Caenorhabditis elegans: one gene and its partner. The protein of the gene in region 1 purifies or fractionates together with the protein of each later gene. This does not show direct contact. Each region holds a gene or a part of one and is shown on either strand. Other genes may lie near its edges.

What was found.
Region 2: the proteins of xbp-1 (region 1) and srh-87 fractionate together in Caenorhabditis elegans (co-fractionation; one large-scale study listed by BioGRID). This does not show direct contact.

The regions. Positions count from the first base shown.
Region 1 is NC_003281.10:4,183,839-4,200,672, forward strand, and holds xbp-1 (X-box-binding protein 1), read left to right. Parts: upstream 1-9,970; 5' UTR 9,971-10,144; coding exon 10,145-10,393; intron 10,394-10,443; coding exon 10,444-10,922; intron 10,923-10,976; coding exon 10,977-11,112; 3' UTR 11,113-11,520; downstream 11,521-16,834. Other genes in the region: lars-1 (Leucine--tRNA ligase), read right to left, coding at 1-342, 768-1,853, 2,312-2,783, 2,834-2,946; R74.2 (FIP (Fungus-Induced Protein) Related), read left to right, coding at 4,417-4,476, 4,525-5,316; ssp-28 (Saposin B-type domain-containing protein), read right to left, coding at 5,573-5,823, 6,403-6,460; dnj-16 (J domain-containing protein), read left to right, coding at 7,403-7,439, 7,710-7,804, 7,959-8,181, 8,297-8,463, 8,593-9,117, 9,180-9,320; asd-1 (RRM domain-containing protein), read left to right, coding at 13,460-13,489, 15,031-15,277, 16,147-16,286, 16,336-16,483, 16,775-16,834. UniProt on the Caenorhabditis elegans protein: Required for transcriptional regulation of the unfolded protein response (UPR) in the endoplasmic reticulum (ER) under stressed conditions, acting downstream of ire-1, and also maintaining ER homeostasis via a negative feedback loop, in parallel with ER kinase pek-1.
Region 2 is NC_003283.11:2,938,968-2,955,196, reverse strand, and holds srh-87 (Serpentine Receptor, class H), read left to right. Parts: upstream 1-9,494; 5' UTR 9,495-9,514; coding exon 9,515-9,726; intron 9,727-9,776; coding exon 9,777-9,922; intron 9,923-10,071; coding exon 10,072-10,584; intron 10,585-10,633; coding exon 10,634-10,818; 3' UTR 10,819-10,820; downstream 10,821-16,229. Other genes in the region: srh-248 (Serpentine Receptor, class H), read left to right, coding at 1-64, 126-793; srw-122 (G-protein coupled receptors family 1 profile domain-containing protein), read left to right, coding at 2,995-3,089, 3,136-3,727, 3,773-3,996, 4,231-4,372, 4,420-4,485; srw-137 (G-protein coupled receptors family 1 profile domain-containing protein), read left to right, coding at 11,238-11,326, 11,379-11,970, 12,018-12,241, 12,372-12,513, 12,558-12,626; srw-143 (G-protein coupled receptors family 1 profile domain-containing protein), read left to right, coding at 13,692-13,780, 13,836-14,433, 15,067-15,290, 15,354-15,495, 15,541-15,594.

The DNA of each region.
Region 1 (16,834 bases):
ATCAATTGGATACCAATACATGAATTCTTTCCTCAATGATTTAAGCTTTTCCTCCTCAACCGGCATGGTTTTCGAATCGTAAATTTCTCCGAGGAATACATAACTCCACGAAGCATCTGTCATCTGATCAGCTTTAATTCCAGCAGGTCCGACGACTGATCCATCAAAAGCTCCCTGTTGGAGAAGATGAGCAACTGTATAATAAGCATTGTAGATTGTAGAGTCTGACAGAGATTCGATGAGGTATTGAGTATCCCATGGAAGTTTGGTTCCAAGACCGTAACTTCTGGAGCAAGCATACTCGTGGAGCCAATCGACTGTGGTTTCCAATCCACGGCGGGTCTGAAAATTTTAATTCAGCGGAATAAGAATATACTACATAGACATCTAAAAATGAGAATTTTCGACATATCTTACGCGCAGAGGACGCAGGCAACGAATTACTGTAACTTCTGTTGTCTAATGGGCCGTTATTGCGTCATATTCTTTAAATTAAACTCCAATTTCAACAAAAAGGGTTTTAAAAAAATCGTCCGTAGAGTTGGAGTAATTTGTAAACTATGATATTCTTTGAACAAATTTTTTCGATTTTTAGATAAAATTGTGGTTTTATTTAGAGAATATGCTGCAATAAAAAACCCTTTGATCGGCAAGTTACAGTAACTCGTTGTCTGCGTGGCAAGACCTCTGCGCGTAAGAGATGGCGAAGATTCTTATTTTTAGACGTCTACATAATATTTTTTCAAAAATAATTTAAAAAAATATACCTCATCATTGAAAGTTCTGAGTGGCTCAAGAACCTTCTTTGCAGCAGCCTTCCATTCAGCCTCTCCATAATTCAAATACCATTGATCACACAACGCAACGACGCACTCATCTCCAGATCTGCTCATCACCTTCTTCTCAGGCTCCACATATTTCGTGGCAAGACCTTCAGCTGTCAAATCATCTTGAATAACTTTCTTGACGTCGGCTGTCTTCTTTCCAGCATACTTTCCGACGAGCATAACTCCATCGTAGAATCCTTTCAAATAAACTTCTTTCTTCGCCTCTTCCAGTTTGTCCTTCTCATTTTGAGACTCAATTTTCAGCCTTGAGCACATTTCAACTGCAGCCAAATCCCCAAGTCCTTCGATTTTAATAATTGGAACTGGTTCGAATGGAAGAACCATCTCATCAGTCAATCCATATTTTTCTCTCAATGGCTTCTTCTTCTTGAGATCCGACAAAGCTGCAAAATCATCTGGAGAGTCTGATGGTACACTTGTAACAACACCAGTTCCCTTATCATCCTTGATAGTCAACATTGGCAATGCATAAACTCTTTCGTATTTTGCGAGAGGCGCAGAGAGTGGAGCTCCGAGAATCTTGCTTCCAGCGATTTTCTCGAGTCCCAGGACATAGTTGACTTTACCATTTTCCTTAGTCAATCCTTGATATGACATGATTCTAGCAGATCTGGCAGTTGCCACAAATACTTGTTTCTCGTTTTCCGTCGCATAAAACACGGAATATTGAATATCTGGATGGAGATAACAATTCGTTTGTCCGTACATTGTTTCAGGTCTCAAAGTAGCCGCAACGAGATAAATATCCTCTTTGATATGGCTCAAAGCTTGAGGTTTTGGATCAAGAACTTTCAGTTTAATAAGAGTATATTCTTGTGGACCAACACCTTCTCCACTGGCACGATCGTGATCCATGCATGGTTGACCGTCTTTCGGTGAATAAATTGTATATCTCTTTCCGAAATCGATCTTCTTAGCTGCACGAAGAAGGTTGAACTGCCAACGGACGAATGAGTCGAAGTATGGATTCACGTCGGTGGTGATGAAGGAACGACGCCAATCAGCCTGAAAAATGGCAATTTTTAATTTAATAATTTCGAAATGTTTCTTTTTTAATTTTGTGATAAGTTAAATTTTTTTGAGAATTATATTATTATTAAAATGGAGAAGCAAAAATGAGGAAGTAAGGCATTTTGTTCCAATATTCATTAAATACAATTCAGGGATATAATATAGAAAAATATTTCATTTATCTGAAAATAGCTTTGATTAAGGTTGAAAAATTGGAAAAGTGCCAAAAAAATCGCCGGTAAAAACCGACCAATTATCGAAATTTTTTTACAGGTTATTTTCAACTTTTAATCACTAAAATAAAAACTATTTTCAGATAAATCAAATGTTTTTTTTCCAAATTCTATCACTAAATTTTAATCAAAAATATTGGAAAAACATAATAATTTAGTACTATTTTTACAGAACTCACTTTCAACACTTTAAGATGATTTCAACACTTTAAATCTTACCTTTAGTCCCATTTTCTTAAGATCAGCAATGCAATGTGGTGGGAAATAATATAGCCAATGATTTGGATCCGAGAATTCCTTAATTTCCTCATCACACAATCCCAGAGACTTCATAATTTGCCATTGGTATTTTGCATTTCCAGTTTTTGCCACCAATTTACTCTTCTTTCCTTTACTCTTATCCTTGATAATCTCATCGACAGCCGAAACTTCTTCTTTAACTTCCTCGACAACATCTTCCGGGAAATTTGGTGGATATCCGAAATCTTGCATTTCTCTTTTCAATTTATCTGCACATGCTTTAATTGGCATTCCAGTACAATGAAATCCGAATGGAAAGAGCACTTCTTTGCCTTGAAGACGTTGGAAACCGGCGGCAAATTCACATTTTGAAGCTGAGAATGTGTGTCCCAAATGAAGACGTCCATTCATGTATGGGAAGGGAAACGTGACGAGGTACTTTGGTTTTCCACTGAAATTTTTTAAATTGAAAATAATTCAAAATTTTCAGAAAAAACTCACTCATCCCTAGCATCCGCCTCGAAAGCCTTCTTGCTCTCCCACAGCTCCTGAATGCTCTTTTCAATTTCTTGAAGTTGAGCAACCTTCTTCCGCTCCTTATTGATTTTCGACATTGTCGATATTTGTTACCCTGATATTTAAAAATAATTAAAACCTTTAAAAAATTCTTTTAAGCAATAGATTACATCAGAAAACACAAAATGATGAAATTTACTTGGTTTCTATTTGAAAAAAATCAATAAGTGATTAGAAAGCAAACAAGTTTGTGGAAAAAAATCGATATTGAGATTTAATTGTCGATAAAAAAGTTCAAATTTTAAAGGGAACAACTTAAAATAGGCCCATTTTCTACCGTTCTAAAAATCCTGCATTATCATGGCCTAGTTTTGCAATGGCATCGACCGCGGCCACGTCAACTTTCCCAACTTTTCATAGGGGTTTCAATCACTCGGAGAAGGCGATAAAATAATACAATATTATAAAAAATGAAGAAAAATGTACTTTTCGAGTTCTCGAACAATAATTTACCAATTTATAGAAATACAATTAGTGATTTTTTCGGAGCAACAACAGAAATTGGATTTTTTCTACAATTATTAGTAATCTATAACAGGCTAAAGGTACATTAAAATAGTTTATAATAAATTTAATTATCTTTAAATTTTTTGGTATATAAAAATTCTACAACTGCTACAACATGAAACATATTGAAAAGGAATTTTTGCAATATTTCATATTCGACTGATTTCAGGAATAGGTCACACTGCACCATATTACTTGGAATTAAATTCGTAAATGCTCCGTTTTGCTCTTAACGAATCAAGTACGGTTTCTACTTTTGAATGGAATTTTGCAAAATATACTTAGTTCATAAAATTATTCCTTTTCCATATCCAATGAAGGCCAATTTATCAAGTTGGACACACACATTGGTCAGATTACAACAAGTGGGATTACACTCAACATCACTTTCTCCTTGCTATAAATACCGGCTGACAGACTTTAATAGTGACTTGAGATAGGTTCTTCGCTGGACGAACTTGACTCGATTTGTATTAATTCATCTAAATTTCTCAAAGCAGAATGTTCCGAAATCTAGATTTTAGTAAAATAGCCATATTTAACTAAATATGTTTCCATAAATCTTCTGAAATTCTCCCAATTTTTAATTGTTTTTTAACCAAAATTTTAATACCAAAAAATTTAAACATCTTCTTAATAGAAGGTACACAATAGATCATATATTTTCATAGTGATACTACTGATTAACCCAGGCAAAACATGATATATCCTAATTCGCAATATACAAAAAAAAACATTCCTTATCTCCGAAAATTTCCAGTTCTAATTTCACTTATTGCGCAACCATGGACGTCCGTCGTCTTCATCACTTTCTCACCTTGTTGTATATCACTACGCAACAAACTTATATAATTTTACCCGATATGCCAAGAACCAGATCTGTTTGAGGCAGATGATGTCCAGCTATTTGAAGGTTTTGTTACACTTCTAGTCAACCCGATTTTGGGAGTATTTAACGACGATGGAGATTGACCGATTTTAACAATCTTACACACTTCTAGATGAGGAGATCTATTATTTTTCTAGCGGCGATTTGTGGGGTCACGTTGGCTGAAAGAAAGGTGAGTTACTTTGGACAATTCGTACCTACGAATATGGATAATTTTTAGGCAAGACAGGATAATGTTGGTGACGATTATTCTGATTTTTCATCTCAACCGGTCAAGAATGCTGGTGCCAACCATAATTTGAAACAAGTAACCTACTCAACAATCGCACCGAAATTCGATATTCCAACTCGTGCACCACTTTTGAACCCAAATCCGATTGGACGCAATCAGAATCCCGTTCAAACTACCACAAAGAGGCCAGTTGTCGCCTATAGAAGAGGGTATTTCTTCCAGCATTACCCATGGGATAGGCTTCCAAGAAGATATCTTCTTCGTCCAGGAATGACATATGTATATCCACCACAGTACACATTCGCAACCTACCGTTATCCACATCTGCCATACACCGACCACTACAGTATCTACCGTACTCATCCAGGAATCGGTTCCGGCTGTGGAGGAGGTGGGTGTGGTGGCGGATATCCACAGGGTTACGGTAGCTATGCTGGTTATGGAAACAGTGGAGGATGTGGAGGTGGAAGTGGCACCGGATGCGGGGGTTATAACGATGATGAAGACGAGGATTCATATGAAGACAGCGATGAGGAGAATGGAAAGAGTGGAGAAGCAAAGATCAACAAGAAGGATCCATTGGAAGATTTGGAGCTGGAAGATTTGGAAAAACTATCAAAATCTGATGACACAAAATCTGGAACTTCTGAGGCAGTCACTTCTGATGATGTTGATGTTGAACCAACTGAGATTAAAAAATCAAAGTTAGGAGATGATGAGGACCTGATTGACGATCGAAAAAAAAAAGCAAAAAGAAACTTCCTCGTCAAGTGGGCTTAATTAACTAAGAATTTCACTATTTTTGTTAAAATTATTATTTATTTTTTGTTATTGAGGATCTCAGGGATAATTGACAATTTGCTGCAATTCGAATTCTCTGCAATATTGTAAATAAATATTTTTTCACTTTTAAAAACGGCCGACAACAATGAAAACGTATGTTTCCACTTCATATAACCACAGAAACGATATGCACGACATCAAATAAACATTTCAAATGACTTTATTACAAAATGCATTTCCTCCACTCAAAGGATTACTGTAGGTCACAGAATCGCAACGCCTGACAGACACTTGTTGATGGAATACCTTGTCGAACACGTTGAAACATTTCCTTCACATTCTCGGACACGAATTGCACACAAACAGGCTCCATGAGTCCCATTTTATCGCACTTTTTGAACATTGAATTAACTGTTGCAGTAGGTGTCATCTCTCTTTCAAGAGACTCACTGACAACTGTGCACAACATGCATGTCACCACGGAAGTTGCTTCACAACGAAGTGCTGAACAGAGTATTGTTATTAATTGGTACTGATCAAGCTTAAGCCTTTTCTAAAACTGACTGGGAAACATCTAAAACCTAGTGAATCATAAATTATCATCACCTTCCGTTCCAGGTGCCGACCTACTTTCGGTTTCAATCGTTATCTCCGATTATCTTTTGCCATCCGAAAGATAAATGCCAGTTGCATATACACAAAGAAAAGTGAAAGAACGTTCATAAAGACGATAGCTTCTCATATTTCTGGTAGGCGAGGAGAGGAAGTTTTTGAAATTGACTCTTTTGGCTTTTTTGTAGTCAAACAGAGCGTGCTGCAGCTTGTGACTCATCACAATACTTGAGCCATTTGGTTTGACACCACACTTCACAAAACCAAAGTCACAAATCATAGAAGTTGAGGGAAATCTTTCTATTCGATGGCTTTCAGATCTAGTCTTAAATAGCGACAATATTTGTTCAAAAAGAAACAGAATCGTTCGAAATTCTGATATTTATCTTAAATCAAAGCGTTATTTGGCTTTTTTTTTTAAAGATCTCTATTAACAGAAACACCACGATGACGCGTGAGTTTATAACTTACAATTGGCAACAAGAATAGTGAATAAAACTGACAAGGCTACACTTGACGGGCAGACCATCTCGGAAGACGACGAAACGGACAGAATGATCTAGAAGAGTCTCGTCTGCGGGATTTCGACTCAGCGTCGTCATCCCTTCCGGAACCTCCATATCAAATAGCACCGTTTCTCGCTTCTCCGCCTCCCCAGGCACTATTATGAGCTGTTGTGTGTGTGCAAGCTCACATCATACAAGAAATCTCGAATTCCCACTAATAATAGACAATGAGACTGATGTTTTGATTGAGTTGAGATCGTTTGATTAGTCAGAATAGACGGAAATTGGATGGACCAACAGAAAAAGAGAGGAACGCGAATCGAAAAATATAACTGTGGAAATCGGCAAAAAAAAAGAATGATAACAAAAGGGAAAAGCGCGTGGCATATTCTTCCAACAAAATATGTGTTTTTTTGGCGACCGACTGTGCAACTCTCTCATCATTTATATTCTACACAAAAATAATTCGGAATATCCAAAAACATGCATAAAGTCGCGGAAATGTTACGAATGTCAATCCGAAAACAGAATTGTGAGTTTACATGAATATATACTCAAATCTACTTGAATAATGCTGAAATGTGTATTCCAATACACTTTTTTAATCTCACAAAATTCAGTAAATAATCTCACACTGGAGAGTCAAAGAGTTCTACAGCTAAATTTCTCATTTACGAATCAAATTAGAGTTTTAAAGCGTTCCTTCGTATTAATATCAGTGTAAAAAAATAATTAAGACAAAAAATATTTCAAAAAACCAGAAAAAGCGAAAAAATGAAAAAAAAAAAAGAATGACAAAAACAAAGCGAAACTTTTTTCTCAGACTACGGTAGATCTTGTTGTGTGCAGCGTGTTTGCACAGATTGTCGACCGTACCCGGAACTTTTTTATTTGAAATATTTTCAAAAAAATATATTTTCTCTTTCCAAATTATTCACATTTTTCGATATTTTAATCGTTTCTTCATGGTTTTGCTGTTTGGAAAAAGACGTTCATCACAGGGTAAGATTTATAATTGTTTAATTCTCAGCAATTAATTTCCATGAGCAGCGAACGACTAATTGTCAAAATTGAGCGTGTTTTATATTGATTCTGTCTCTGTGCTATTCCATCTTTCCTGCCTAAAATGTATGGCTTTTCTCGTTACATTTCTCCAATACTTTCCAAAGAGACGCAGACATAAACGAATGTTTGCCCTATTGCGAAAGAAGTAAATGAATCACCCTTCCTTTTCCCTTTTTTCCACTATTTTTTATTTTTTATTTTTTGAAGCAACATCGGCGACCATGTCAAAAGCAACAACTCCAGGAGATCAACCAAAGGTTTCGGAAATGGACTTTTATCAGCTGCTTGGAGTAGAGAAAATGGTAATTAATTTTTTCGGATGACATCTGAAGGCATGCAAGAAAGCAATATTTCGTCTCCAGGAAATTTCCAGGAAACGTTTAAGATATATTTAGTATTTTAAATGAAATTAATCTCCCTATCATCGAAATTAATAGAAATTAATTCATTTTCCAGGCGTCCGAGGCAGAAATCAAATCAGCGTATCGAAAATTGGCTCTTAAATACCATCCAGATCGTAATCCAAATGATGCTCATGCTCAGGAAGAGTTCAAGAAAGTTTCAATCGCATATTCAGTTTTATCTGATCCAAATAAGCGAAGACAGTACGATGTTAGTGGTCCATCAGAAAATCAATTGGACTTTGAAGGATTTGATGTCTCCGAAATGGGAGGAGTTGGTGAGAAATTTTCAAGAATAACATTTAAAAACGTTGATTTCTCCAAGAACAACTGAAAAAGTTAACCCAGAAAATTCCAGGGACTTTTTTTTTCTAATTATATAAATAATTGCAGGTCGTGTCTTTGGAGCACTCTTCAGCAAGCTTGGAGTACCTATTCCCACACAAATTGTCCCAAAAGTTCTTGCACAGGCACGTCACATTTGTATGGGACAAGAATGTGATGTTCAGGCACGACAACTCCCTCCCGGGGAGACTGTAACTTCTTCTGTGAGCAAGCAGGTGAGAAATTTGTTGTACCATGAAATGTGAAAATTTAATATTCGAAAAATTCGGATGGATTTTAAGTTTAATTTTTTTAAAATTTAATTTTATAAATACTACTAAAACTAATATTAAAATTAATTTCAGCACGCCCACTTCTACGAAATTAACATACAGGAAGAACATCGAAAGAATGGAGTTGCTATCATTTGTAAAAGTTCATCTAGTAAATTCAAGTTAGTGTTATTCGATAAAGAAGGAGGTGTCCGAATGATCCAAGAAAGTGGGAAACGAGGAAAAGCCGGAACTCAAGCCGACATGTTCTTTGTACCGTACAATGTGGCCAATATTCAAGAATTCAATGCAATGAAATATCATTTGGAGGATAAGGAAACTCCATTGGCTTTTCATTATTTGGATAGTTTTGAGATGCAAACTGCGACACTTTTGGAGACACGGAAGCATTATATTGCAGTTTATGGTGATAATTGGATAAGCGATGTCAAATATTCAATAACCTTCCTTCCTGTGGAACCTTCTGCTGTCGAGCAACTGAATGAGATTCAGGATACGGAGAAATCGATTTCTATTATTAAAAAAGAAATGCTGGATTTCCAAAGAGAATTCACAGAAGCTAAGAGAAAATATGATGAAGCTGTGGCGAAGTTGAAGGTAAGATTACTTACTTCGGAAGCTGAAAGAATATTTGTTTTAATCAAAAATTTAATTTTCAGGTACAAGACGACACAATTCTGAAAGCGCTGGCACATCGTGAAGAGCTCTACAATGAAGTTCTCCAGAAGTCTCAAGAACCGTATAACAAGAAAGTTTCCCCATCTAAATCATCGGGTGGTCTCCTTGGATGGTTCAAATGATCCCTATCAAGATTTTTTTAAAACTATTTCACAAGAAGAATGGGTCTTTTAAATTTTTTAAATTTCACTTTCCAGAGTTAGTTTCGATATTTATTGATTGTTGATAACATTTAATTTCTCCTCTATTTTCTAATGTCGATCCATCAGATCTCTTTTTTTCTTTTTTATGGTGTAATTTAGCAAAACTTTAAGTGTTCTGTACTCAATTTCTAGATAAATTACTAGTTTTGCTCTTGATTGAAAAATATAAATAAAATATTTATGGCTAGAGTTTGATTTTAAATTTATTTTTTCTTATTAACGCTGTAAGCAGATTCGCAGCACAAATTTATTTGGCGAGCAGTATAACTTTGAGATGATTTTTTTTAGCATTTATGAAATTTTGTACTCTTTAATTGCAAATTTTCCATACTTTCATACGAAATTTCATGAGTTTCTCAATATTCCTCAATACTTCAATAGTGCTTGTTTACGAATTGATTACAATTTTGAGACAGTAATTTTTAGATTGATATGATACTTTCATTCTTATCATGTCGTTTCCGGCAAACAATCGAGTTCCAACTCAGCTCCCTCTTGACGTCATTTCCCATTGATATTTCGCAATAGACATTTTGCCAACAACAAAATGTCTCATTTCTCTCTCCGTCACACGTTTTCTCGTTGCAGGCGTGGCCGCGTTGCGGTCGCGACGCGTTTGTCGACGTTGCTTTAGCATATACCCTCACTTTCCTCATCACAACAATCGCAGAAGCAGAAGAAGTCTTTTTCTTCATAAATTCCTGGGCTTTAGCCCCATATTCGCTACACTGAAGAACTATACAATGAGCAACTATCCAAAACGTATTTATGTGCTCCCAGCACGCCACGTGGCAGCGCCACAGCCTCAGAGAATGGCTCCCAAGCGTGCACTTCCAACAGAACAAGTTGTCGCACAACTTCTTGGCGATGATATGGGACCATCTGGGCCACGCAAAAGAGAACGACTGAATCATTTGAGTCAGGAGGAGAAAATGGATCGTCGGAAACTTAAAAATCGAGTCGCAGCCCAAAATGCTAGAGACAAAAAGAAGGTTAGTGCTGAATGTTTATCGAACCCTGAAAATAAGTTTAATTCTTGTAGGAAAGATCAGCAAAGATCGAGGATGTGATGCGCGATCTGGTGGAGGAGAACCGCCGGCTCCGCGCTGAAAACGAACGTCTTCGCCGTCAAAATAAAAATCTTATGAACCAGCAGAACGAGTCCGTCATGTATATGGAAGAGAACAACGAAAACTTGATGAACAGCAATGATGCATGCATCTACCAGAACGTCGTCTACGAAGAAGAAGTCGTCGGTGAGGTTGCACCAGTTGTCGTCGTCGGAGGAGAGGATCGCCGTGCCTTTGAATCAGCAGCATTCATTAATGAGCCTCAGCAGTGGGAACAGGCCCGATCCACCTCCATCAACAACAACATCAGCAACCAACTCCGTCGTATGGATTCCAAGAAGAACAACACAATCAGTGTGGATATGTATCTAACTATCATCTCGATTCTATGCAACCACATGGATCGCAACAAGAAGATGGACACCTCGAACAAATCCTCGAACATCTCAAGGTAAGATAATTAGAAACTTCCTAATGTTTATGTATTAACTTCATAAATTTCCAGAGCCCAAGCGGAGAGTTCGATCGATTCGTTGCTGGCTACATTGAGGAAGGAGCAGACGGTTATGCAGCGTCTTGTTCAAGCGGATCCATGTACACATCTTCAGAAACGCGTGAAACACTTTCGCCGAATTCCCTAGCCATGTCCCCGTCGATGAGCAGCTCGAGCACTGACTGGGATGATGAGCTTTTGGGATGTGGAACCGAAACTGGAACTGGAACCGACGAGCTGCTTACCGACCCCGGAAACTGGAACTTTGAAACTTTCGACGAAAATTCAATCGACCTAAATTTCTTCCAAAATTAATTTATATCTGGTGTATCGTTATTGTAGTGTCCTAGTGAATTTCCCTCGTTATTATTTTCTCCCCAAAAATCTCTCCAAATTTCTCCATTTCCTCTCTGGTATTTTCTTCTTTTCCTCTTTTCCTTTTGTACAACCCCAACTTTCGTATTATTATTTACCCTTATTAAATTTCCCTCCCCCAAAGCTCATTGATTCCAATTCCCCCATTTGTATATTTAATAAAAACAGCCATACATTTTTGAGATTTGATCATTTTGTGCAGGAACTCCTTCGTTATTTGCCTGGACTACATTAAAAAGACTCGCAGCCTCTTCACATCAAGCAGTACATTTGTTTATATTATTCAAGGGAATATGGTGTGAAAATGTCTAAACAAACAATCCATCTTTCGTTCCCACCCGTACCGCCTTCTCTTCTTTTTCATAGCACAAATATACAGAGACATGCACTGATTCACACCACGTGGCCCCTACTTTCGTTTTTAGAAAATCGTATTTCTCGAAATTCAGACGATCTTTAAATTGTAGTTTTTTTTTTGTTGAATAATACTTTAGTACGATACAAAATATGTCTAAACACAAAATTCGATATAAAAGTTGTCAGATTGAAAAAGTGCTGAACTCATTGAGCTTAAGACGCTCAATCCTGGTTTAATAGCCTCTGCTCTCACTCACTTTTTCTACGACTAACCAATTAAAAAATCGATTGAATCGGTCATTCTCCGCCGCCACATGGTGCCCATCTGTCTTTTTATTTTCCATTTTTCCCCCTCACTTTCTCCTCGTTTATTTTCGCAACGCTCCAGCTCCCTATTCTCCTCCCGGTTTTTCATTTTCTCGTTTTCCATTTTTCAATTTTCTCACAATAAGGACTCACTATTTCCACTTTTTTGTTTCTCTTCAAGTGCGAGTACTAATCCCTTTCACAGGAAAAGTGGAGTTTTTGTGCTTCTTTTAAACAAAAAAGTAGATTCGAATCGATTCTTAGAGAGAAATCGGCATCGAAATGCTTCATTTTCGCAATATTTATTAAATTTATTGGATTACCTACCGCTGCGAGACCCACCTGGAAATTGTATGCATGCACCTTTGATCACTGTAATTATTTGTTTGTCTTTTCTGATTTTTCTTCCTTCTTCATCATTTTTAAGCGTGTTTTCTAGTTTTTCCTCGCTATTATGCCTAAAAAACATTGAAAAGAAATATTCGTAATTTGCACCTATTCATTCCTGATATGACAAAATATTTATCCGATCACTTCACATCAAAATTAGTTCCCGTGTCACAACAAAGAAAAGACCTTGAACACTGAGGAGAAAGAGAGAGGAAGTGAGGAAAATGAGGCAAGATGACACAAAAAAAAGACGGAAAACTATCGAAAAATAGGGTCGTTTTGAGACTGAACAACCAGTTTTGGCCCCGTTTCAAGTGTTGGTAGCTACCTCTGAAGGCAGAACTTTTTTGAAAGACTGTAGATACTGTAGATTGAAATTTGATTAAGTTTCCAATGTCTTTTACGTTATTTCAGTCCTTTCAAAATCTGTTTCTAGACTTTTTCTTCTCATAACTTCAAAAACCAATACAATTTCTTCAAAAAAATAAGTTTTTGCTCACAAAAATCTTTGCACAGGATCCAATGGCCTAGCTTTACCCAGGCCACCACATTCCTCTGTGTTACCCGCCTCCTCGTGAGCTGCTCGTTGCGCGTGTATCGCTCTTTTTCTCTAATTCTCTATCATCCTTCCTATCCATTTTTAGCGGGTTTTTTCCCGATGTTACTTCAGTTTTTCTTTACGAGTAGCTTTGGTTTGTACATTTTGTTTTAGGAATTCATTTCTAAATGTGCCCAACTGAGCGAATCTTATAATGAGACTTCCCAAAAAAATGTTCAAAATTTCGAAAAAATTGCAAAAATTCCAATTTTTACATGTCGCTGTATTTCAGCTGCTGTAAGGAAAAGTATGCTTCGAAATTTTTGAACAGTCATACAGTTTTTTTTTGAGAAACTGACTAAAAGTCTCAAATTTTCGTTCATTTGGGCACATATTTTTATTTTGAAAAATCCACATATTTTCTTGAAATCTCAATCGATTTTTTAAAGCTTTTTTCTTCCTTCAAAATCTATCTTTTCGAAAAAAAAAAGCTTTTCCAAATATTTGTTGTTCCAGATCTTCTCTACAAATGACAACGGCGGCTGAAATAATAACAGTGGTGAGTCAATATAATTTCAGGTATTTTCTTCTCCAACTAAAAAAAACAAAACATCGAGCGTTTTATTTTCTCTTCCAGCGCTCCCCTCATCTTTTCCATATTATGCACATAATTTTAACCAAAACATTGATTTTTGTGGTGTTTGCACCGGTATTATATATATTCTGAACAAGTATATATATATATTATAAGTATCTCTCATTTTTCTTCCGTGGCTAGCGGCGCATGCGGTTTTGTGGCCTTTCTTATAATTTCGATCTATATCTTTTCGCGAGTTGGGTCTCGAGTGGAAGTGCACTAGTTTTCCACTCGAGACCCAATTAGTGAATGAAATTTCAGTTTGAATAACCAATGTCTGCTCCTCTTCCAAACGCCCCTCTCTAGCTTATCATTGCCACGTGGCAAAAGACTGGAAAATATTGGAGAAATCTTTTTTTTTCGAAAAAAAAACCAATATCTGTTCCAAATAACAAATTCTCAATGGTTTTTTGTGCATGGATGATGATGATGAAATGATATACACCCACACGTACACCTACACACATACACTGGTTGAATGTATTTAGTGAAACACAGTTTTTTATTTTATTTTCTAGTTTTTAATTTCATTTTTATACTAATCAAATCACGCTAGGTGTCTAATTGTAATATGGTTAAATGGAACCTGGTATATATATATAAATATTTTGCATGTGGATTTTTAGTCAGGAAAATTGAATCTACGAAATTTGAATAAAAAGTCAATTGAACATCTGAGGCAGAATAAAATTACTTTCCCATGATAGTCTAATTTATGAAATTGCATGCAATGTTTCTCGCTTTTGTGTCCATTTAAATGGCTTTTTGGAATAAAAAACTGCTGGATTGTGAAAACCCCCTATTGAAATTTTAATATTATTGGGAGGCAGAAAAATATTCGCTTCGTTTTGGCGGCAAAATAGTTAATTCAAATGTTTGAATTAGTTTCGCCAATTTTCAAGTACTTTTTCTCTTTTTTCAATTATCGATTTAGAAAGTCTGAATTTATGGTTTTTCCGCCAAATTCCTAATAAGACCCATAGTTTGGGGGCGGAGCGTTTAAAATTGGCGTCAATTTCGAAATGGGCAATATTTGCGCCCCCATAATAAATAATTCATCTTTGAAAATTGCGAGAAATTACAGTACCCCAAATACCCTGCGTTCTTTTCGGTCGCGTCGAGACCTGGTTTTTCTCACAAGAATTTTTGAAACATATTTTTGGATGACAACTCCTATCTCTATATTTTTTTTTCTCCATAAAAAATCATAAATATTATCAGGTTCCATTTTTTAAATATACCCTAGGATTACTATATATTTCAACCAATTTTCTTTCAATCTTTCATTTCTAACCGATTTCATTTAATAATAATAATGTCTACATCTATCATCCATGTTCAACCAATCATTCAGATGACGTCATATTCCGCACGAAACAGGAGATCATTCTTCCTCATCCCCTCGTCGACAAAACCGCATGAGCTCCCTCCCCAGTGAATGACATTGCTTTTACCGTTTTCAGGAAAAATTAAACGATTTCGACTATAAAGTGGCTCTCCAGCAGCAAATGGTAGCTGCTCAAAATGGAGCTGCCGCCGCTGTGCTCCGACCACATCAAATCGGATCCTCTCCAGAGGCTCCACAATCTCAAACATCTGGAGGATCAACGGAACAGCTGCAGCAGCAACCACTACCACCACCAACTCAACAGAAGCAACAGCAGCCACTGACGATTGGACCAGTGGCTCCGAATGATCGCAGCACTAGCTGTAAGAGACTCCTAATGTTCTTCTCTATTCTTCCTACGTTTTTTAGCATTAAAAAGAGAGAGCTTATTTGATAATGCACGTCTTCGTGGAAGACTTGAGAGAGATTTGTGTTCTATTTTTTTATTAAACAAAACCAGAGAAATGCATGAAAAGTGCCCAATGATGTGTGTGCAATGAGCGAAAAAAATAAATAATTTACGGGAACTTTGAATTCGGAGAATGCGTACTGCACCACATATTTGACGAGCAAAATATCTCGTAGCGATAACTTCAGTAATTCTTTAATGACTACTGTAGCGCTGGTGTCGATTTACGGGCACGATTTCGAAATGAATTTCTGTTCAAACTGTGGGAGCGATATCAAATTATTCTATCATTTTTGTGTTCTTTTAATATTTTTTCGATTTAAAATGATTCTCGTAAATCGACACCAGCGCTACAGTATTAATTTAAAGGGTTACTGTAGTTTTCGCTACGAGATACTTTGCGCGTCAACTATCCTGCGAAATACGAATTCTCAGAATTTATTGTTCCAGGTAATAATAATTTAAAATAAATGCACACACATCATTGCGTGCTATTTTAATTGTGGATAATGTTCATATCGGTGGCAGTTATTTAATTTCAATAGTGGTTTTCTTTTTTTTCGTCTAGCCATACATATATTAACCTCTGGAATGCGTACAAGCACACTGCCCACACCCCAAGGTTGACTGCTTTTTTAGTTTTTTATTAATTTCTTCTGATTTCTCTTTTTTTTTTGAAATTTTTTTGAAAAAAAAAACAGAAGGAAATCATCAAAAAAATAATATTAAAAAAATTTTTTAGGCATTTAAATCCCAAGAACACTTTTGAAAAAATATTTTCAGCAAGTAGTACAGATGGACCACGCCGCCTACACGTCTCGAATATCCCGTTCAAATATCGTGAGCCAGATCTCACTGCGATGTTTGAAAAAGTTGGGCCCGTCGTAGATGTCGAGATTATCTTCAATGAACGGGGTTCTAAGGTTTGTTTTAAAACAACATTTTCAGAAAAAATTAATAAATAAATTCCAGGGATTTGGATTCGTGACAATGCAGAATCCAGATGATGCGGATCGTGCTCGAGCCGAGTTTAATGGAACGACGATTGAAGGGAGACGTGTTGAAGTGAATCTTGCTACTCAGAGAGTTCACAATAAAAAGGCCAAGCCTTTGATGTCAGGTAAGGAAAATAGTGTTTCGTGATTCTGGAAAAAATTGAAAATCGGAAAAAGGAGCCATCGAAATTTTTGTCCAAGTTTTCTGAACACATTAAAAAATCCAATTTTTTATGTTTACAATATTAATCGTATTTAATAAAACATACAATTTTAAAAAGAAAAAGGATCAAAATTTGGAGCTTATTTTCGAAAAATCGAAAAAATTTTGATTTTTCGATTTTTCACAAATCGAAAAATATACACCCTTGGTCCGAGATTTTCCATTTTCGAATATCAATCTCAAAATATTTCAGTTGGAGTGGACGCAATGAGTGCTCAAAATGCTCTGATATCCCAACAACAACAGATTCAAC
Region 2 (16,229 bases), on another chromosome or scaffold:
TATGGGCTCGGTCTCATTGATGCTCCGGGGTTGATGATATACTGTGGAATTACATTTATGGGAGGTAAAACTTAACTAGATATTTTTTTTTAGTTTTAGGAAGAAATCATAACTGCTTTTTTCAGCGTTTGGTGTTACAATCCTTGCAATCTATGAAAACCGATACTACATCGTATTTGCACAAAATTCGATATGGAAACAGTTGCGGAGAATATTTATGCCACTGATGTGGATTCTCGTACCCTTTTATTTTTTGCCGCCATTTTTTCAAATTCCGGATCAAGAATCGGCTCGAATTCATATTCAAAAAGAAATTCCGTGTTTGAACCTAACTCTGGTGAACAATAGGAATCTATTCGTCCTGTCGTTAAATTCAAATCTTGTTGGATATTGTGCTATAATGGAAACTGTGGTTATTGTTTCTCCAATTATCCTCTTCTTTTTTCTCACACTTTATCAATTTTTCAAAATACGCGACTCTATGAAGTTCTCTTCGAAAAGCTATCAGCTTCAGAAAAGCTTTTTAATAGCCATAACTTTGCAATCACTTTTATCATTTGTTTTCATTCTTGTACCAGTTACTATTGTGCTTTATGGTTTTGTTTTCTGGTATTATAATCAAGTTCTTAACAATTTTATGAGCATCATGTTTTCACTTTTTGGCTTGGAAACGTGTGTTGTGATGATTTTAGTGCACAGACCTTACAGGGAGTATGCACTATCTCTTCTTCTGTTTTTCCGGAAACGAACCGTTAAAAAAGTGGACTGTATTTCGGTTGTGATGATTCATTAACTAGTTATAAAGGCTTTAAATTATTTTAATTGTAGTACATACTTTAATAAAATAATTCACGAGACAAAATTTTAATATAAGGTTGCAAAATTCTTATTTGAAATAATTAATTTTTTAATATTTTTGCAATGATGAGCTGGCTTTGGTCTTGGGTGCAATTTTCTTTTTCTAAAATTTGTTGAGGATGATACATGCTTGTGATAAAAATTCTCAAAATTACCGAACTGATATATCCAAATGAGAGCGTGTGCAGGGTGGTACTCCGATATTGAAAGGACATGATTAGACAAACAACAGAGAGTGGCAGCTTAAGTCAGAACACCAGGATTTAATTCAGATTTACATTCTTGCTCTGCTTCTACTTGTTCTCAATAAATCCATAACAAGTAAGCAAGAAATAATCGGAAGTAGAATACACGTAATTAACTGAAATTTCACTAATTACAAAATAATTAATCTTGAATAGTTAGATACATCCGACATAAATGAGTTGAAAAGGTAAAAATATTTTGCTAGAAATCCATTGTTTTTCAGGAAAAGTTCCGATGAAGCAATAAAATAATATGATCCTTTAGGAGCACAATGATGTTTACTCATTGTCACAGAAACGAACTGGATTTCGAAAAACTTAAAAATAGAAATTGGCAAACTTGCTGCACATATTCCAGCAATCACAATAAGCGATGCTTTTGGTTTTCCCAGCAAACTATACTTGGGGCAAAATGGATTCCGAATTATTAGTGTTCGAATCAAAGCAATAAACACGATAAGCCATGTCGAGCATCTTCTCGAGTAATCCTTCACTACAATAAACAGAGCTCGGGTTAAAACTAGACCGTAGGTATCTGTCGGGAAGCATGTGAAAATTAAATAACTTTATTGTTCCAGAAAAAGTTGAACTTCTAGTAAAAATGTCAGAATATCAAACAATGCAACTGCAGCCATTAAAATATTAATCGAAGAAGCTCTCATTGGTTTTCTTGTCAGAATAAATAAATGAAGAACATTTATGAAGATACTCAAAATTGATACTTCATAGACATATCCGGTAATGTAGAACGAGAATGTTCTATAATTCATCTTAGACTAAAACTCAAACAGTTTCTAAAAACTCACACAACATTTCGTTCGAAATTGCATAACGATTTTGCCATAGATTTCCGAAAACCACCGTAGAAACGATCGAGGTCATTGCAGTCCGCGTAAATCATATCTGTTCCCTGGCAATCAAGCTCAAATTTATAGGATTTCTGTGAAAATGAAATTAGGGTTTGCCGCGCACAATAGATCAGCCCAAATTGTTGTTTTTCTTCAAATAAAAATTGAGTATATAGTTGAGCAATTTTGCTGCGTTTTCAGTTCGAAAAACCACGAGAAAAAAAAATTTGGAAATGAAACATGAGCCGGTGGGCTTGAAGCCATTTTTCCAATTAGCAGTGATCCCACGCAAACAAGATATCGTTCTCAAAACAAAAAAAGCTTTTTTATATCAATGAAAACAACGGGTTTCTGGAGAAATGTTTTCCTTATTCAACTCATTTGATTTGTCAGATGTATGATCAATTCGCATTCAATGTTCTCTGTTGATCACAAAAATTTCAGATAATTTCGGGTATACTGCTCCCAATTGTAACATTATTACTTATTATGAATTTGTGGAAAACCGCTAAAAAGAGGGCAAATATTGTGTCTGTAAGTAAAAAAATTAATTCTCGGAGCAAAACTGAATAAGTGTTTTGCATAACAATCTTTTTTTTTTCATTGTTGAATTTTCTCATTATAAAGTGTAACATTTGTCTAATTGAAACTTCAGAAAGTAATTATTGCGAGCAGGAATATTGTTACTTGGTCATCTCTGTCAAAAACCCTACGATAAGTAAACTATAAGTCATAACTTTTCGAAAAAGAAATTAATTTTAAAAAACACTAATTTTCCCATTCACCAATCATGACCACATTATTCTGATTCACTTTCTACCAATTTTCACAATTTCTTATGCTAATCTAATTTGTAAATCTGAATTAAATCCTGGTGTTCTGACTTAAGCTGCCACTCTCTGATAAGTCGTTCAGAAATTTATTGAACATTTTTTTGTCATTTTTCGTGATATTTTTGTTTTTGGCATAACTTATTCTTTTATTATTTTTTAACTCTTTAAAAATTTTTTTTCAATTTTTAACTTCTTATCAGGATTAACAAGATGTATATATCGGATTGCACTGATCTTGAATTCTACTACGAAGGAATTCAAAAATCGACGGCAAAATCACTTTGCAAATTCGAGAAAACATTTTAGTAAGTTACCCGTATTTGAAAGTTATCTAAAAACTAAACACTTAAGTCCATTTTCTGACAAACTTCTTGCCCATGTGAACGAAATATCAATATCAAGTATTTTGATAAATCTAGTTCACTTTTTCATTCTCACAAGGAAACCAATGAGAACATCTTCAATTAATATATTAATGGCGGCAGTTGCATTTTTCGATATTTTTACCTCTTTGCTACCAATTGAAGTATTATTTGAGCGGTATAAGGACATATTTTTTGAATGCTTGTCCTTAGACACATATGGTTTAGTTCTAACTAAAGCATTGCTCACTGTAGTGAAGGATTACTCAAGAAGATGCTCAACATGGCTCATATTTTTTATTGCCTTTATTCGAACACTAATAATCCAGAATCCATTAAGCTCAAAGTATGAGGCACTCGGCAAACCTAAAGCATCAATTATTGTGATTACTGGTATTTGTGTAGCAACGTTCCCAATTTCAATGTTTAAATTCCTTGAAAATGAATTTATTGAGAGCCTGCCTCGTGATTCCTGTGCTCCAAACAAAACTTATATTGTTAACGTTTTGTCTGAACTTTTTATGAAAAACGACGGCGTCATAATGGAATATTTTTATTTGTTCAACTCGTCTATTTCAGATGTTGGGTCACTCAAAATTACCACTTTAATAAAACTTAATTTCCAGATAGTTCCTTGCATTTTGCTTCTGATCGTTACATGCCTACTTGTATGGAACTTATTCAAAACCAGTAAAAAGAAAGCAAAAATGTCATCTGTACCAAACAATAGGAATTCTCGTGGAAAAACTGGACTAGTGTTATGCGTAGCAATTATGTTTTTCATAGTCCAGTTTCCATATGGACTAAGCGTGGGTAGTGCGGGGATCTTCATACTTGCACCCGGTGCACAGTAAGTGACCAATTGACAATAAGATATTTTATCTAACTAGGGCTTTTATGGAAGGTAGGCGTGGTTTCACGTCCTGACGCCTGCCTGAAGCCTGGCCGCCTCTCGCCATTCTTTCTCCGGGGCCGGCATTTTCTGTTTCTATTCCGCAGTATATAGGAGGCGCGAGGCGAGGCAGGCGAAGGTGGCAGGGAGTCGAGTACTAGAGGCATCCCTATTTCTGGACTGAGTTTTCAGCAACATGCTTAATCAATTTGGATATATTTTCTCTATGTTAATAACATTGAACACATGCACTCATCTCTTTGTTTGTCTATTTATGTCCTCCCAGTATCGAAGTACAACTATTCACGTCTTCACCTGTGGATGTATCTACCCTGTAATGCAAAAAATTGTTTTCAGAACCATTGAAATTCGAATTTTCAGAAAACAAGAATGTCAAGCGGAACTCGAATCATTTCATCGCCGTTAAACAATTTTAAGCAGCTTTGAAAATACATAAACGTCAGAATGCTCTCAAAAAATATTTTCTCCTTATTTCTCAGAATAAAGTTTTTTTCGGGAAAACGTCTCAAATCATTCGCGTGATCGCAAAAATTCAAAAAATAACATTAGACACGAAAAAAAGTTTCTGGAGCAAGTATTCAATAACTTATTTTAATGAAAAATGGCTTTTGAAACTCCGAGCCGCTATAAAACATTTTGAGAAACTTTCAAATGTTCCCATTAATTGTAAAAAATTTATCCAAAACGAAAAATTTTAGATTTTTCAAAATTTCCGGTCAAAATTTTGGCACATTGCCGAAGTTTTGAAAAATAAGAGCTTTTGAGGAAATTCAAAGCAATGACGCATGTTCCGACCCCTACTATGTTTTAATTCGAATAACTAAAATAAAACTACAGTATAAAAAATGTAGGAAAATTTTTTGGACAACTTCCAAAATTACGAGTGGCAAAAAGTGATTAATTGTCACTTTTTGACGGTAAATAAAAAATTTTCCAATATTTTTTGAAAAGTTTTATTACGATTTTCGGTTATTTCGGCACCATATGAGTAGTTTTCAACACTTTCCACACTGGTGCTACTCTACCTTGAACGTTTTTTGAGTACAAGATAATATATTTGATCATTTCTAGCCAATAAAATATTGGCTACTTTGTAAATTCGCTTTTCAAGCTAAACGGTCTGCTTGATGAACAATAAGAAATATCAAAACATCATTACTTATATATAAAAAAATATTGTGGGTCTGTCCATAGTTTGTAGTCTGTGACGTCACACTTTTCAGAGACAATGTGTTTCAGGCATTTGAAGTTATTATGGGTTGGGGTTAGTATGGGGATATGGTCGGGGTACTGTAGTAGTACTGTAGAGGTACTGTAGGGTTACTGTAGGATTACTGTAGTTTGGGAAAAATTGACTTTTCGTCTTTTGAAGGGATATTGGTTTTAGGTTAGTGGTGGGATATGGTCGGGGTACTGTAGTAGTACTGTAGAGGTAATGTAGGGTTACTGTAGGATTACTGTAGTTTGGGAAAAATTGACTTTTCGTCTTTTGAAGGGATATTGGTTTTAGGTTAATGGTGGGATATGGTCGGGGTACTGTAGTAGTACTGTAGAGGTAATGTAGGGTTACTGTAGGATTACTGTAGTTTGGGAAAAATTGACTTTTCGTCTTTTGAAGGGATATTGGTTTTAGGTTAATGGTGGGATATGGTCGCGGTACTGTAGTAGTACTGTAGAGGTACTGTAGGGTTACTGTAGGATTACTGTAGTTTGGGGAAAATTGACTTTTCGTCTTTTGAAGGGATATCGGTTTTAGGTTAGTGGTGGGATATTGTCGGGGTACTGTAGTAGTACTGTAGAGGTACTGTAGGGTTACTGTAGGATTACTGTAGTTTGGGAAAAATTGACTTTTCGTCTGTTGAAAGGATATTAGAAAAATCGTATTGTTCTACAACCTTCAGTAAATTTTGAGAAAATGCTGGAATGTTCTAGAACCTTCTGGAAAGTTTTGGAATATTCTGGAATATTCTAGAACCTTCAAGAAAATTCGAGAAAATTCTGGGATGTTCTAGAACTTTCTGGAAAAATCGGGAGAGTTCGAGACATTTCACGAAATTTCTGGAAAATTCTAGACTGTTCCAGAACATTCTGGAAAATTTGAGAGAATTACTGTAGAAGTAATGTAGGATTACTGTAGGATTACTGTAGTTTGGAAAAATTGATTTTTCACCTTTTGAAGGGATATTGGTTTGAGGTTAGTGGAAGGTTATGGTCGGGGTACTGTAATATTGCTGTAGGGATTCTCAAATTCAAGAAAAAGTGAGTTTTTGTCTTTTGACCTTCCTTGAAACTTTTACAACTTTCTAGAAAATTCAGGAAAATTCTAGAGTAAAGCCTAGAAAAATCAGAAAACGTTCAGAAGTTCTAAAAAAATCTAGAAAATTTAGTAAGCTACTAGAACTTTGTTGAAGGTCCGCAAAACCCCAGAATAAAAAATCCAACTTTACAAAAGTCTTAGTACTTGACAATTTTTTAAAATAATTTAGCGTACGCCAGTCGGAGCACGCGCTGTGCGCGTGCGAACGGCTGGTAACTCAATATTCAGCTTTAAAAAGAGTTAGAAAATTTTTCCAGACAACTATTATTGAATTTCTTTAAATTAGTGAGTAATTCATTTTTATTGTAATTTGTTTGAGTATGATATCAAGTCTTTATTATTATTTCTTTTATTATTAAAGTGTAACTAAATAAACCAAATTAAGAAAAACAACCAATCAAACTTTAGGACACTGCTTTAATTGTTGATGAAGCTTTTCTAGAATTGTTTTGAGATACACCAACTACACTTGACTTTTTATCTTGAAATGCTAAATGTCCACAGAATAAGATACCAATTGCAGTTTGCCGATATTGATGTGACATACAAAGACATACAACAAAATGGGACATTGTGTTCAACTTTAATAAAAGTGACAGCATGAACCCGATCTGTTGTAGGATTTGCCTGAAATTTTAGATATGTTTTTATACGTGATAAAAAATTAAATTATCAAACTGACCATATACCGGGAACATGTACAAAATAGTAGCCAACTACAGAGTTTACACTGTATGGAAAACCGGAAACGAAGAACATAACTGTCATGTATAACACCAATCGAGATGTTTTTCGAGAATCCGAAGTCTTGGCCGAAGAAGAGGATGATATTTTTCTTCTGTTTTCATCAGCTTTTTTGATTTCTCGAATTAAAAATATTGTGACTATCGGAAAAAGCAGACAAGGACTAATCTGAATTTTTTTAAAAATTGGTTTTGCTTTAACATTAAAAAAAAAGAAATCACTTTGGAAATAAGAGAATTGAGCGTCTCCAGAAATTCTATAAGTACTTTGTTATGCCGGTAAAACTTGGAGATAACCATAACATATTGTTTTCCATTTATAACTCGAACACATTCGTACAAAAAGTCCATTTCAACTATTTCGTATTTCAAAAAGCCTAAAACGGTGAATGGCATGTTGAACAGAACTGTTACAATTATAAAATAAATCGAAAATTTTGAATGTGCCAATTTCTCATACTTTGGATTTAGAGGGTTACGGATTACCAATGTTCGAATGAGAGCAATAAAAAAGCATAGCCATGTAGAGCATTTTTGCGAAAAATCTTTGAATTCCGTTTTGCATATTTCCATGAACGCTTCAGAGTATGAAGGTGGTTGTGAGCAGCGATGAAACGAGCTGATAAATTCCGAAATGAAACGCTCGAAAGTTGGAAACAATGTGAATATGTCAAAAATTGCAACCGCAGCCATAATGAGATTTATGGAAGAGTTCCGCATAGCAGCACTGGTGAGAATTATGATATGGAAGGTATTAATCACTAAACTAGCAAATGATATTGTATACTCTTGGTGCATTATGATCGGAACGAATTCTCTGAAATTATTTGAAATATGGCTAAACGTGAAAAGGTGGTGCAGTCGAAATTGTTGTATCGCTTTATTAGACTCAAAATTGTTGGTAAACGCCGAATTTCATGATGAAACTTCTTGAAATCTTCTCAAAAAAATTATGGCGGCTCAAAAATGACATAACATTAGTCAGAATTTGAATTTTGACCGACTTGCCAATGTCGCAGCGGTTGGAAACTCTAATTAAGGGCGTTCAAATTAATTATCTTGCGTTTTTTAATCGATTTAGGTACATTTAAGGTTGATGATTACCAGATTTGGTAAAATTTGGTCACTTTTAAAACTATATTTTCAAAAGGTATATTTGTAATTTTGAACACATACTCCAAATTAAATAAAAAGTTGCACCAAAAAAGCGCTGACGATTTTGTATATTTTACTGACAGTGAGAGGTGATCAAGCAACCAGAACACGCCTAGAACTAAATTCCACCTTCCGTCGAGATACAGGAAATGTGAGTATTGCAATTTTATTGAATTAATCTAGCGCGGTAAAAATCAGAGATAGACTAGATCAGATTTACAAAATTAAGTTTAACAAAAATTTAATTTCTCTGGGCTCAAAAACACTGACTCAAAAACAAAACCCAACAAATGAGGCGTTCAGGTAATTTTCACAGGATGCAGTAGTAGTAATGTGCTACGGAAATAATTAGAAATCAAGAAGTGCTACTTGAAAAATTATTGGATATTTGGAGCCAATTGAATACCTATTGAATTTCTAAAAAATTATTGAATACATAACCAAAATTTAAAAAAAAATCAAGTATAAAAATTGAAAAAAAATTGTCAATTTTAATATATGTATACTGTTCCAACGCGATATATTAAATTCAACTTTTGAAAACATCGGGTCGGCTATTTGCACCACTGGACACGAACCGAGCCAAAATGCCAGCCGCGCCCGCCTTGCGGCTACCTCCGCCTGCCTCGCGCCGCCTGCATGTAGTGCGGCGCGGAACCTGAAAAGTGTCGGCCGCGGAGATAAAACCACCTTACACACTATGTGGTACAGAAATGAGGCGAGAGGCCTGCGGGCAGGTCGGCAGCAGGCTTGAGGCCCTACCGCGCCTGCCTCCCATGGAATCCCTACCGTTTTTTTTTACGATTAACACGCGGTAGATTTTTTTTGTATAACTGTTATGTTATTGATTCTGGATTTGTGTTTCTATCGAATTTGGCGAACGTATTCTGAAGTATTACGTATTCGGCAATTTCACTTCAAAACTTACAGCTTGTAAAACATTTTTCCTTTTCCTCGTTTTTGGAGTAATTATGAAAATAAATTGAAGTAATTATGAAAATATGAGTATATTGCTTTTGTAGGTTGGAAACAGAGGGTATTTGATGTTTCACAATGACCGTGCTTCCTCATTTACTCCACTAGGTTCTTAGTTGTCTTTATTTTTGTTGAGATAACCAACTGAGTCATCCTGTTCTCAGAAAACTTTTGTCATTTTTTGTTTATAGAAAACAACTGTCATATCGACCAAAAAACTGGGTTTATTCACTTCACAGTTTTTTTTTGTGAAAATCGTGTGAGCATGTCTAGTCTCCGTGAGTATTACTTAACAAACTATACAACATGTCCAAGATGCGATACGTTTTTGTGCTCTTGGCAAGACTTTTCTTACACTTCCCATTTTTTGACTGCATTTTCACTTCCAGTTTATCTTTTTGGAGGTTACTGTATCCTATACAAAAGCCCAAAGGAAATGTCAACCTATCGAATTCCGCTTTTCAATTTCCATGTTTGGTAAGTATACACATCACAAACATTGACTGTGCACATGTAGAAATATTCAGGACGTGTCTGGCGGATGTGTTTTTGAATTGCCTCGGGACACCATATATATTTCTTCCAACTCTCACGGGATTTTCAGTTGGCTTGTTGAACTTTTTGGGTGTCCCACCGAAAATTCAGGCTTGGCTGGCATTTCAGAGTCTGAATTGTAAGTTTAGGTATCCGGAAGTGTAGCAATCTGGAAGCTGGAACAGTTCCCATCAGATACATTTTAAAAATCCGCAGCCGACATTGAGCGAGATCGCGTCAGACCACACAGCGCGCAATCAATTTCACAAAATCAAAAAATTGTTTCAGTCATGTTATTATCTACAACAATATTGGTAGAAAATCGGAATAACGCAATTCCATTCAACAAGTTCAAAATAACTCGGAAAAGTACGAAAACTATTTACTATCTAACAAAACTACTGATTGGAGTATTTTACGCAGCATCATTCACATTTTTCATACCAGCAAACCAGGAAGAAGCACTCTTTAAAGTTCTCAGACGGCTTCCATGTCCTTCTCAAGACTTTTTCACGGCTTCCAATATTTTTGTATTGTGCATCGATGATTATCATATTCATTTTTTAATTGCCTTCACAGTATTAGGAGTTGTGGTAGAAGTGATTCAAATTTTGTTTTACTTGACATGTTGTGTCTACTATTTGTTTTTCTCGATTCGTTCGTTTACTTCAAAGACCACGAGAAAGTTGCAAATTAAATTTTTGGCAAGCATACTTCTACAAATTTCAATTCCTGTTTTGTTCATGTTACCGACCGCTTTTTATATTTGGTTTGCTGTTGATTTTAATTATTATAATCAAGGTTCGGAATAAATTTGTGGGTAAATTTAAACAAAAAACCAATTTTCCAGCATTAACCAATTTGTCAATTCTTCATGCTTCAATTCATGGCTTAATATCTACAGTCGCTGTACTCATTATACATCATCCTTATCGGCAGTTCGTTTTGTCATATTTCTGGAAATCTAAACCAAAACAACCCTTGAAAAATATCGATATAGATTCTGTGGTAATTACTCAAATTGTTATCAAATAATTTTTTCATAAAAGGAGTTTTTTTAATAAACTATGTTTTTTTACAAACCTTACCTTTTTTCCTACAAATCAACAAAGCCGAAGAGCAGTAGAATGCTCAAATATCACAACAGGGATGTGCTGAAATCGGAAATTTTTGACAACTTTGGCCATTGCTGGAGCAATTGCCACCCGGCCATGCTTCAAAGTGATGTCTGAACGTAGCCTGAAAATTAAGGGATAATTATCATTTCTGCAGCTTCCGTCTTCGATTTAATAATATATTTTTCTGAGACAATTCCCTTTTTTTAGTTCCAGCTTTTGAGTAAAATATTCGTTCTTCAATTCCTTCCGCAATAAATCAAAAAAAAAAATTAAATTTCTGGAGGCTTTCTGTTTTTCCATTCCTTTTGATATCAAAAAGTTTTTAGTTTTACAACAATGATTAGTGACAAATATCTTCAAATTGATTTTCCGGGCTTTGAGCATTCTACTGCTCGTCGGCTATACCGAATCGAAAGATATCTGGCGTAAGTGTCATATAAATCAAAAGAAAGGTATTTCAAGATCAGAGAGTTTCAGAGTTTTCACAGAGAAAGTTCTGTCATATGAGTCTATCATTTCAATTACTTGTATTTTGGTAAACATTTTACATTCTGCAATTCTGACAAGAAAATCTATGAGAAACTCCTCCATAAATATCATTATGACTGCAGTGGCTATTTTAGACATTTGCACATTTTTTTCAGAACTCAAGAAAATCGTCGAGCGATTTCTCCGAGATTATTACGATTGTTTTCAAAGTGAAACATATACTTTTGTAATAATCGAAACTTCGTTTCAAGTCCTCCAAGACTATTCCCGGCGGTGTTCAACGTGGCTTTGCTTTCTCATCGCGCTTATTCGAACACTAGTCATCAGAAATCCTCTGAACCAAAGCTACCAGAAATTAGCCGGTCCTGCCCTCTCTGGTTTTGCAATTCTCGGAATATTATTTTTGAGTCTTCCGATTTCAGTGGTCTTTTCTCTGGAATATGAACTAATGAAAAGTTCTGTGCCATCATTTTGTAATTCAACTGAAACAACTTACTACACAGTTATATCTGATATGTTTGCGGATAATGATGGGTATTATTTGAAAATATTTTCAATTGTTAACGGGCTCGTTTCAAATGTAATTTCTTTTCGTTAGGCCTAACTACAGGGTTTTCTAAATTCCAGATAATTCCCTGCGTGCTCTTCCCGATAGTAACTTTCCTATTGGTCGTCGAGCTCTGGAAATCGGATAAAAAGCGAAAAAATCTTTCTTCCACTGCAAATGTAAATGACTCTAGAAAAACTACTAGACTGGTATTCTACATATCTATTACGTTTTTTATCGCCGAATTTCCGCTTGGAATAACATTGGGTGCAACTTGGTTTTTTCTCGATGTTCCTGGAATGAAGTGAGTTGATCATTGCCTGAGTGACGCCACTAAGGCATCGAGGAACTCCGTTTTTGATGCAACCAGCGAAATGTCGGCCGCGCGATAAATATCTTTTATTAAATTTTAACCGGGTTGTTTTATGATTTAGATCAATAATGAGTTACTTCTACTACAATTTTTCCTTGCTCCTGTCTGCAAATACAGCTACCCACTGCATAGTTTGCTTCTTCATGTCATCTCAATATCGGATTGCTGCAAAGCAAGTAGTGTCCTGTGGATATTTGACTCAGGTTCGGGTATGTTTCAGGCTTGATGCAACATTTTGTAGATTTAGAAAAACAAAGCAACTGTGATTCAAGTCACTCACACTAGTTCTGCAAGGCGACAAGTTTTTAAAAAGTGAGGTTGACAAAATGCCGAGGACGAGTGGAAATTGCTACAATTGTATGTTAATTTACTATGATTTGTATAGCTTTTCATTCAAGTGTTTTAAGAATAAATATTTTTTTCACTATCGGTAGAACATCTTGTTTTGATCTAGCTGGTTAGAGATGAATCAAAGAGATTTCTAACACATCTATGTTTTTTTTTCTTGAAGCTAATTAATTTTTCTCGAATTTTTTCTTTTGATTCATAATAACACGACGAAAAACATTGTCTTGTGTTTTTATCAGCTCCGCGCTTTGTTCAAAATATCAGAGAAAACCCGTTTCACATACATAGGTATATTCAAAAACTTTCAAATTATTCCAAAAGCTTGGGCCAAAAATTTCTGATTTTCAACTAAATTGGTGAAAATATTTAATTTAACTGTGCATTCCTGACTCACAAAAACAAAATTTCAACTATCCCCACTACACTCTGAGAAATTAAAAAAACCGGACGGCTTACATCCGGCATTAAATGTGGTGTAGTCAAATTTTTTTGTTGTTTTATTAGACTCAAAATTGTCTGAAAACACCGAATTTCATAATGAAACTTCCTGAAAACTTCTCAAAAAAAAAAGCTATGACGGCTCAAAAAAATACCTAAAATTAGTTAAAATTTGAAATTTGACTGACTTGTCAATGTTGCAGCACCTGGAGACTAAAAACTTTTTTGAAATCACAGTCTAATTTTGAGTATGTAGTGTTAATTTTTCATTTTTTTAAATCAAATCTCCCGTCCATCAACTTTAAAAAGCCTTAATCGAGTTGAAAACTCAAGATATTTAACTAGTATACCCAATTTTGGTGATATACGGTGATTTCAAAACAGTCAGCTTCAAGCTGCTGACAAGTCAAATTTCAAACTTTAACCAGTTTTAAGCTATTTTTTGAGCCGTCATAACTTTTTTTTGAGAAGTTTTCAAGAAATTTCATTATGAAATTCGGTCGTTTCAGAGTCTAATAAAGCAATAAAAAAATTCGACTACACCACCTTTTAAACAAAAATTGGATTTTTGGATTGCAACCCTAACAGAAACAAAATGTCGACATGCAATGCCTACCAAAGAAACTATCCAGGATATGATAACGCCACAGCAATTTTTCTATGCCAATTTGAGGCTCGACTTTTGTGAGTTTAAGCTCTGGCAAATATTTATGGTTAGATGAATTTGCTTCATTTTCAGTAAGATATCAGGACACGTTTTTAACTATGAACATTATCTCTCCATTGCAAGCATTTTCATAAACATTTTTCATTTTTTGATTCTCATCCGAAAGCCTTTACGGAGTTCATCTATCAATATTATCATGGCTTTTATTTCAATTTTCGATATATGCTCAATGCTCTTCAGAATGAAACAATCATATGGTCCATCGATAGAATACATATTTGATCCATGCATGCAGTCAAAGTGGTATTTCAACGTATATTTGGAGAAAATCCTTCTAGTTGTCAAAGATCATTCCCAACGATCTTCGACATGGCTCCTATTCTCGATTGCACTGATTAGAACGTTGGTCATACGAAATCCTATGAATCCAAAATACGAAAGACTTGCACACCCACCAACATCATTATTTACAATGATTTGTATAAATTTGATCTTCGGCCCAATTTCAATAGCCACCTTTTTCGGGTCTGATATAACGTCACAAAACCACACATCTTCGTGTGATCCGGATGGAGTACTTTTTTATTATCTGGACATATCTGCGTCTTACAAACAGAATGATGGCATGATTCTGAAAATATATACTTTAATCAATTCAGTGGTCTCTACGGTTAGTTTGAATTAGGAAAAAGGTCAACAAAAACGTTTAAAAAATTGATATTTGTGTTGTGCCAGTGGGAAAACTTTTAAAAACCACTCCTACGGTGCCAAAATTTATACTGCGTTTTCGTCTTTTTTTAAAAAACTGCAGCACTGTTGCGACCCCTTCAATGTTTGAATATTAGTAATTGAAACATAAGCTGACCATAAGAATAAAAAAAAATTTCTTGATCGACAACTTTCAAAAAGATTGCAAAAACTTAGTAAAACCACTTTTTGCAACTTCATAAAAATATAAACAAGTTTTACTATAATATCAGGTCATGCGTGGTGTCAAGATGTCCCATTACGTTTGATCTACAAAAAATGCGAGAATTTTCCGTCCAGAAAAATGTGACGTCAGCACAATCCTAACCAGAAAATCTATATCTTGAATTGAAAATGCGTGAATAGTATTCCGTGATATGCGTGTGCGAGAGCCCCCAAGACAAGAGAAATGCGGGCGCGAGTGGTCCTTCGCTGACTTTGTTCGATGTCGGCTGCGCAATTTCCAGAAACTAAAGTTCAGTTGCTCGGAGCTCTACGGTCAAACGCCTGTTAGAAGACACCCAGCTCCCCAATATAACATTAATCCCCGTTACAGATAATACCTTGTTTCATCTTTCCAATTGTGACTGTATTTCTTGTGAAAGAACTTTGGAAAGCCGAAGCGAATAGAAAACGATTATTCTCTTCAAAAAAAGTGAACGACTCCTCGAAAAACACTCAACTGGTTTTATTCTTGACGTGCGTGTTCTTCATCGCCCAATTTCCCATTGGAATTTCCATCGGTGCTTCTTACTTTTTTTCAGAAACTCCCGGATTCATGTAAGTAAATTTTTTTAATCTGCAGATTAGCTTGAGCGAAAATTCAGATTTTATCATTTCCAGGATAATTTTGCACGAAATTTCGTATATATTCAGTGTAATTCTGGTGGCCAATACCTTTTCACACTTTTTTATATGCATTTTTATGTCTTCACAGTATCGCGCGGAACTTAAAAAATCCATATACTGCAGAACAAAAGCTAAAGTGATTTCGAAGTTGAACATCTGAAAGTTAAATCTGAAAATTCAGGTTCTACAGATGAACGGGGATTGTTTGGCTACTGGTATAGTAATGACGAAATAGAGGCTTGACAATTGTTTATCATGATACATCCTTCAACTCGCAATTAATTTTGTTCATATTCACACTAAACTTGTTCCAAAATCATTACTAGTGTTTCAACGATTGACGTCGGCTCCAAAACTTTATGAAGGTTTTTTTTTCAAAAGTGAATGAAAAAATCATGTTGTGTATCACCCCACATTTCCTTATTTTACTCATTTTTATTGATTTGTGTATTTACGATTTAGTTATCGTGTTTGGAAAATTGTAATTATATTCAAACAACTACCACTGAGCGCCTCCAAACCACCTTTAAATATAAATTTCGATCTCTGTTTCTTATTTCTTTTCAAAAACTCCTGAAATCGGGTCAGTAGCAATTTTATATTCTTGAGTAAAATCTCAAACGTTGTTTCAGGATAATACTTTATGACATTTCATTTGTTTCTTCAATAATTCTCGTTGCCAAAAACAATATCTCATTTTTTCATATGCATTCTTATGTCGTCACAGTATAGCATGGAAGTTAAAAAAAGGTGTTTTTTTGCGGACAAAAACCAGAAGTAGATTTACAGGCAAACTTTTGATTTGGAATTTTAAGTTTCAGGTACAACAGATGATTGGAGTCAGTATGAACACTCGAGTTAGGCCGGCAC